Arabidopsis thaliana: one gene and its partner. The protein of the gene in region 1 interacts with the protein of each later gene in a pairwise test. Each region holds a gene or a part of one and is shown in the gene's direction. Other genes may lie near its edges.

Region 1 (3,366 bases):
CCATGGATTTCTTCTCAGGCACATAGATGGAACAACAAATGAGAGCAATGTGGTGGTGAAACTGAGATCAAACGCTTCTGATATAATCTGGGAAGTGAAGATGGAGGGACGAAGACTCATCCAAGGCTGGCTAAAGCTCCCCACCAGCCGAGTCGGCGACGTAGTTGTTTTCAGACATGATGGAGATTTGTTGTTCATTGTCACTTCTTTTGGACCAAGCTGCTATGAGATTCGGTATGAACCGATGCAACACCTGTTCTCCAGCTGTGTTCTTCTTCTAAAACGAGCCAAAACAGATTCTTGACACTAACTCTCACACCATACAATCTCAACAAGTATAAACTGGTAAGTAAGTGTTCATCAATGTTTCAACATTGTTGTCGGAGTTTGTAATGTTTTCGAGTTCTTTATGGGCAGCCTACTACCGGGGACAATTCTGATGGCGGATGGTGTCGAGAAAGTGAGGAAGATAACGCTTGTGGATCGATACGGTGTCAAAAGGGAGATGAGTCTTAAACCAGAGGACAGATATGGAAGAATGAGTTCTAGCCATGATACTTCCCTGTGGTCCATAGATCTTAAAGGGAAAGTGAATGGTGCAGTAGAGACCTGCGGTGTCACTTTCCATCGCTTGGACACTTACTAAAACTTCAGTGATCAACACATTTTAGACAACTTTGATCCAAAAGCCTGCGGATGGGCTTACGGGATGGACATCTTCGACCTGAAAGAATGGTAAAATGCAGATAAGCTCTTCTTCTTGACAACTAAAACTTATGACATCGAACCTTGTAAGTTAGCTCTTCTTCTTGACAAGTGTCTGATACTCATCATTCATCTCCAAAATGCTGATTAAATCCAGCATTCTCATAACCAGGCCGCTTCTATCTCTATCTCCCACAGAAAGACTAGCATTGGTAGCCTAATGTCAATGTCTGTTAGACCATCAATCACTTCTGCTTTTGTTCCATTTAACATCATCATCTCCATTTATAAACAGTTTGGTTCAGAACCATCATCTTCATCTCTTCTTTTGTTTGTAAAAGAGACGTGTATAATAAGATAGATCGTCCCGGTCCCACATAATCTAACAAACTTAACGTTTGGATTAGATCATCACCGTCCGATATCTCACAGTTGAAAGTAAACAGATTTTCTTATATTTTGGTCAACCATAATAAGAAAAGGAAGCTAAGCGTTGAAGAAAAAAGGAAACAATCGAAAGTTTCCTTTTTTTGTTTTTTTTAAGAAACCCTAATGCTTATAAATAAACACCTGAATCTCCTAACATCACCACTCATTCTCTCTTCTTCCATGAGAAATCAAAATTCATTTGTGAATTGATTTGTGGCAAGTTAAAAAAGCTTCGAACATAGAGTAATAATTTGGCTCTCTTATGAATTGCATTTGGTTTGGACTATATGTTATCTGTGTGGAATCAAATCAAAATTATCAATCTGGTTCGTCGGAGTTGGATCAATAGTGGAAGCGACAATTGCTAGTTTGTCGTTTGTGTTTTTAATTTCGGTTCGGTTTACATGGTTTTGAAAAATTCAATTGATTTCGGTTGGGTTTGAATTGGAATTAAAGGAGAAAAACACTGAAATCACGCACTCGAGGCTTTTTTTGAAAGGAGCGAGTGTGTTTCAAAACAAGCCATTTGGTGGGTTAGAACCCACAGAAAACGTATACACGCGCTCATCACGCGATTGGTGAGAGTGGGTGTGAAATCGCCCGAGAGGTGAGAGTGGGGTATGACATGGAACGCTCTGATTGGCTTATAAAATAAAAATAGTTGAGATGTTGCTCCTCCCTTCCTATGTTTATATTTATTTACTTCTCCTTTCAGAAGTATCAAACCAATGCAATTCATAGAAGAGCTAAAACGTTTTTTTTTTTTTTTAATGATTCAATGAATGACTGACAAAGATTTTGTGACTGGTCTTTTCAAAAATCTTGAACTTCAACAACATAGCAAGGAACATAGAAAATAAAACAGACCACCCGAAACAGAGCAAGTAAAGAAACCGAACACAAAAAAGCAGAGCACAAAACTGAATTTTCTTTTATTTAAGGCCGATAGATTTTATGGGGCTAATACAAAAAGCCCAATATGTCACTGACTAGTATATGTGGGGCTGGATTCACCACAACCGCGGAAAAAAGTGAGAGAGATAAATTCGCACAAGCAAATCGGAGTTACTATGTGGACCGTGAAACCGGCGGCGATGCCGGTTCAATTTCATATGAGACCCACCGTAGCAACTTCCGTCGCCTATTCACAGCCACCACCACATAATTACGACGGAATCCACCGTCGATTCATTAACGTTCCGACGAAATCACAAACTTCCGAATCCGTCGGCGGATTAGGCCAACAAATCCTCCTCCGCACCGTCGATTCGAACCCAAGAAAACCAATCCCGAAGGAGACAGAGATTAGCGGATCAGACGTGCTCTGGGCGATTCAGAGAGCGACGGCTCAGAGGAAGAGAACAAACGCCGGTAAAAAGAAGACGAAGAATCGGCTCAGCGGTGTGGAGCTATCATCCTCTGCGGGCGAGCCCACTGGAGATAACGGTGTTGATTACAGTAACGTGACGCCGTTAAGGATCAAGAGTGATTGGGGTCACAGATTAGAGGAATTCGAGAAGCTTCTCAAAGAGTTTCAAAACACGGAACTTTGACTTTGACCTTTTTCCTTTGCCACATCACATATATTAAATCCACAAAGTATTTTTCTGTAAATTTTCCAATTTTAATTTGTACATGTAAATTTTCCAATATCGTTATTGTGTTAACGAGTACTCTGTAAAATTTATGAAAATATCGGACGAGCATGTAAATGATTATTGTCATTAGTAAGAGACCAACACACTAGCATGTAGATAATTATTGAGCAATAATAACGTTACTTAGGTACATGTGTACAGACTCTAGCCTCTTTGTAAACTTTTCCTGGTCGACACAAATAGCCTTTGGACGGAGCACAATGAGCATCATCTGAACATATACACAAACCCTCCAATGCACATCCATCTTTTACTATCGTCGGGTTTCCTTTGATCCCTAGGATCTGATCCGTCCATTCGCTCGAGAATAAACCATTCGGATCATAACTCTCTTTTACTTTCAAGAATGCTGGAGCATTCTTGTACTTTTTAATCACTCCATCAAACGCTAAGTTTCTATTCTTACCCCAATGTGGTAATGCATTATACTTGAGCAACGCAATTTGCTCGATTTCTTCGATAAAATCTTCATAGAGTCGCGGTGTTAACGGATCATTGGCTCGGTAATATGTTATATCAAAGTCTATGGCTTCCGTTTCTTTTCCAAGATAAGCCGGAGAGGATGTGACATAAC
Region 2 (4,287 bases), 9.5 Mb from region 1:
TTGGTCGTCAGCTGGATTTATGATATTTCGGCGGCATATCCCGTCCCCACCGCACCACCAACCGGAAGGACCATGGCATGGATACACATTTGTCTCACTTTATATCATAAATAAAAAAATATTATATGTTATCCAGATTTCGTATCCAAAATTTTCTAACAAAATCTCCATTTTATAATTCTACTGACCTTTTTAAAAGGCACTGTTGTGACTTCATTTCAAGAGATACGTACCAAATCTTTATTATCAAATATATCGTGACGATAGACATGTACACACATATAATTGTAGTACGCATTACTACGGAAAGAATATTCCAAGAGCTTACCAATTCCATGCCGCATACATTGGCGTTTATCCTAAGTTAGACTTAGGATTCCTAACGTTCCGAATTTGCGTTGGAGAGCAAGTTCCTGATCTGCTTACGGAAAAATATATTCAAACTCAAATTGCGAATGCCGAGACCATTTCAATTTTTGGGTTTTTGTCGAAGGGATGATGAGCAAATTAAAGCTAGTCCACCTTTTTAATAAAATTGCTTGTGAAGAAGAAACAATTAGGTCCAATATTACTAGAGACAAAGGCAATTTATAATTTTAATATTTTTGGTACTGTTTAAAAAAAACTATCAGTACCAATTGAACAATTTCTAATTTTGATATTTATAATTTAGTTAAAAATATGTTTGTCATATTAATTCTTTTTTTGCTCATATTAATTCATTATCCAGTTTTTTAGTCATTACATTTTTATTTTTTTTTTGTTTAGTCATTACATTGAATTAGTCGAATCAGTACATAATCGTTTCATCAGAGAACTAGTGAATTAAACCGACCCAGACTAATTGGAAGCCTTAATTTTGGATCTTATATTGTAGGCATATTAACTTTTTAATTTTCTTACATAAATCCTTCATATGAAATGTTTGTTTTTAAATGGCCATGGCCCAGAACCATTGCATTTTTGGGCTGGATAGTGGATGTATATGTGAATTCGTCATCATACCAACCTGGTCTGGCCTCTTATTAGTGCAGTTAAGACTAAATAACCCGTTTGGTAGGGAGTAGGGACATTTATTATGTCTGGGGTCGTTATCGCCTTATCGGAATCAAATTGAGTTTAAAGACAAAACAGTATGATCGATTAATTATCAAACACAACTTGTTTATAAATGTATAGATGTCGACATCCACATGGTATCATAACTTCTTCTGCAACATATCCCTCGATATCATATCCACCATTAATCTAATTTATTGCAGTATAACGAGTCGAGATATGTTCATGAATTTTCAAACTCATTAAAAAATTGTTGTAATTTTTTGTTTCGTAAGTAAATTTTGTTTTTTTTCTCTTTCAATTTAACAATGTAATTTTCTGGATGAAAAATTTGCAAACGGTATAAAACTTAACATTTCATATGATTTTTTTTTGGATAAAATTACAATTAAAATAATAAATAAAAGATAATAAAGTATAACTTTTGTATATTTTCCTTTATAAAAAGTAATGAGGTTGTTAGATGGACGGGAAGACGGGGACGAGGCTTTACAGAGTTTTTCTATATCCTTGTTGTTTCCGAGTGGGAATAAGCTCAACACCAAAAACACGTGCTTATTTTATTTACACGTCTCTCTTCTCTTACTTTTTTTTTTTGGGTCCATAACACGTAGTTTTTTTTTTTTCAAATTCATAACACGTATATGAATCTCAGACCACTAGAAGCCAACAAATTATACGATCATTATAGACAATAATGAGAAGACTTCTAGTTTCGATCATAATATGTTTAGTTTATACATATACGTCACGTTTTATGCATTATATACACAATCTGGTCAACATAATTATGGAGTGGAGAAAATAATTTAAGCCGCGTCTCGTTGTCGAATATATAGTAAGAATACCTGAAAACACTTTCTATTCATAAACCCTTTACGACAAAACAATAAAGACGTCTCTCGATTTATCTTTGTCTTAATCAGGAAACTATTTGACATTTCTTTATCGATTATTACTTCATATTCGGGTATGGATGAAGATTTTTTCTTACCCGATTTCTCACTAGTAGACATTGATTTCGACTTTAATATTTACGAAGAAAATAATTTATCACCTGATGAATCTTTATCAAATTCACGAAGAGCTGATCAATCGTCAAAGTTTGATCATCAAATGCATTTTGAGTGCCTCAGAGAGAAGCCAAAGGCAGCGGTGAAGCCTATGATGAAGATCAACAACAAGCAACAACTGATTTCTTTTGATTTCTCTAGTAATGTTATTTCTTCTCCAGCCGCGGAGGAGATCATTATGGATAAATTGGTTGGTCGTGGAACCAAAAGAAAAACATGTTCTCATGGCACAAGATCTCCGGTTCTTGCGAAAGAACATGTTTTAGCCGAGAGAAAGCGCCGTGAGAAGCTTTCTGAAAAATTCATTGCTCTTTCAGCTCTCCTTCCCGGGCTTAAGAAGGTATTGCAAATTTAAATTGTAAATTATCGATAAATTTGTTATATATTTAACTATAGATATTTTCATAGTGAAGAAAAAATAATAATTCATCAGTGTCAATTGGTTTTGAGAATACAAAACTATCTTGTGGTTTTTTAGGCGGACAAGGTAACGATTCTTGATGACGCGATCTCGCGTATGAAACAACTCCAAGAACAACTAAGAACGCTCAAGGAAGAAAAAGAAGCAACGAGACAAATGGAATCCATGATTCTTGTAAAGAAATCTAAAGTGTTTTTCGACGAGGAACCTAACCTATCATGTTCTCCTTCAGTTCATATTGAATTCGATCAAGCATTACCAGAAATCGAAGCGAAAATTTCTCAAAATGACATTCTCATCCGAATCCTTTGCGAGAAAAGCAAAGGGTGCATGATCAACATACTAAACACAATTGAAAACTTTCAATTGCGCATTGAAAATAGCATCGTATTGCCATTCGGAGACTCGACTCTCGACATCACAGTCCTTGCACAGGTGATCATTAATAACTATATATATATGCAATACTAAAATGGATAACTCGTAGTTCATCCAATATAATATTGATGTATTAATGAAACTGATAATCTACAATTATGCTTTCTTAACTTTTTGTGTGGCAGATGGATAAAGATTTTTCGATGAGTATACTTAAGGATCTTGTACGGAACCTGAGACTCGCAATGGTTTAGGTCTTCTTTCAAGTTTTAGTAACCTGAGACTGTACATTGACACAATCGTTTCGTGGATTTGCTATCGTTTTCTTCTTGAGATTTTTTCACACGTGCCCACATGTTTGATGTGTTTTTTTAGCAAAGCTATTTCCGATAACGACCGTTGAGAATTAATTTAGATGTAACATTTTTTGTTTGTTAATAATGAATTTAAAATATAACAGAATTGTTTTTTTATTAAGTGGCAGAAATAAATGTGGCCTTATCCGCTGTCCAAAAAAAAAAAACAAATGTGGCCTTATCCTTAGCATGGTCGTAATGCCTTCTGACTTGTTAAAGTATTTTGTAATTATTGACAAACCCTCTTCAATTCTTAATGAAATTCACATTCATGTCAACAAGAAACATATTGTAGAAAGCAAACCTTTTAACCAATCAAAAAAAAAAAAAAAAAGGAAAAGAAGATTGCTTGACATTAAAAAGATATTGTAGAAAGCAAAATTACATCGAAGGTCAATGTTACAAAATTCTGAAATATTTACGAAAAAATAGTAGGGCATGAAAATGGATTAAAAGAATTAACTTAATTATCTATAGTTTTGCCCCAATAAAGATATACAATTATAGTTTTCGTAATTTATTTTGAAAGTTTCAGTAGTTAGCAAATTCAACAACTTAGCTACATTTGCTTTCGACAAAAAAAAAAGCTACATTTGCTCAAAAAAAAATGACGCTAAATTCAACCAAATTTATTACTATTTACCAATAACTATTTAGAAGTCATAGGGCAAGGGCAGTATCGGAGGGACGTGACCAAATAATAATTGCCGCACGACGCGGTACGATTAAAAGCCAATTCAAAACCTTTGAGTACCACCTAACAAAATCATTTCTTGGATACGTTTATACTCACCCCAAATCTGGGATACTAATCAATTATAAAGTTAAGATAAAGATTTTTAATAAAAATAATAATTCAGCGCATCGATTAAGAATAAAATTACAATAAATTAAGCTTATTAAAATTTCTTTCTTATTTCTTGATTTCCGATATAAATAGTCACACGATCAAGGGTCAGCTATAGCTTGATAACATTTAACTTTGTGATCTTCGGATTGA

Evidence for each region.
Region 2: the proteins of AT2G46735 (region 1) and AT2G22760 interact in a two-hybrid assay, tested with the Arabidopsis thaliana proteins (one large-scale study listed by BioGRID).

What each region holds. Positions count from the first base shown.
Region 1 is NC_003071.7:19,202,271-19,205,636, forward strand, and holds AT2G46735 (death domain associated protein), read left to right. Parts: upstream 1-1,914; 5' UTR 1,915-2,204; coding exon 2,205-2,687; 3' UTR 2,688-2,866; downstream 2,867-3,366. Other genes in the region: GulLO5 (D-arabinono-1,4-lactone oxidase family protein), read right to left, coding at 2,912-3,366.
Region 2 is NC_003071.7:9,675,981-9,680,267, forward strand, and holds AT2G22760 (basic helix-loop-helix (bHLH) DNA-binding superfamily protein), read left to right. Parts: upstream 1-1,863; 5' UTR 1,864-2,031; coding exon 2,032-2,472; intron 2,473-2,610; coding exon 2,611-2,988; coding exon of another isoform or gene 2,989-3,024; exon of another isoform or gene 3,025-3,116; coding exon 3,117-3,185; 3' UTR 3,186-3,522; downstream 3,523-4,287.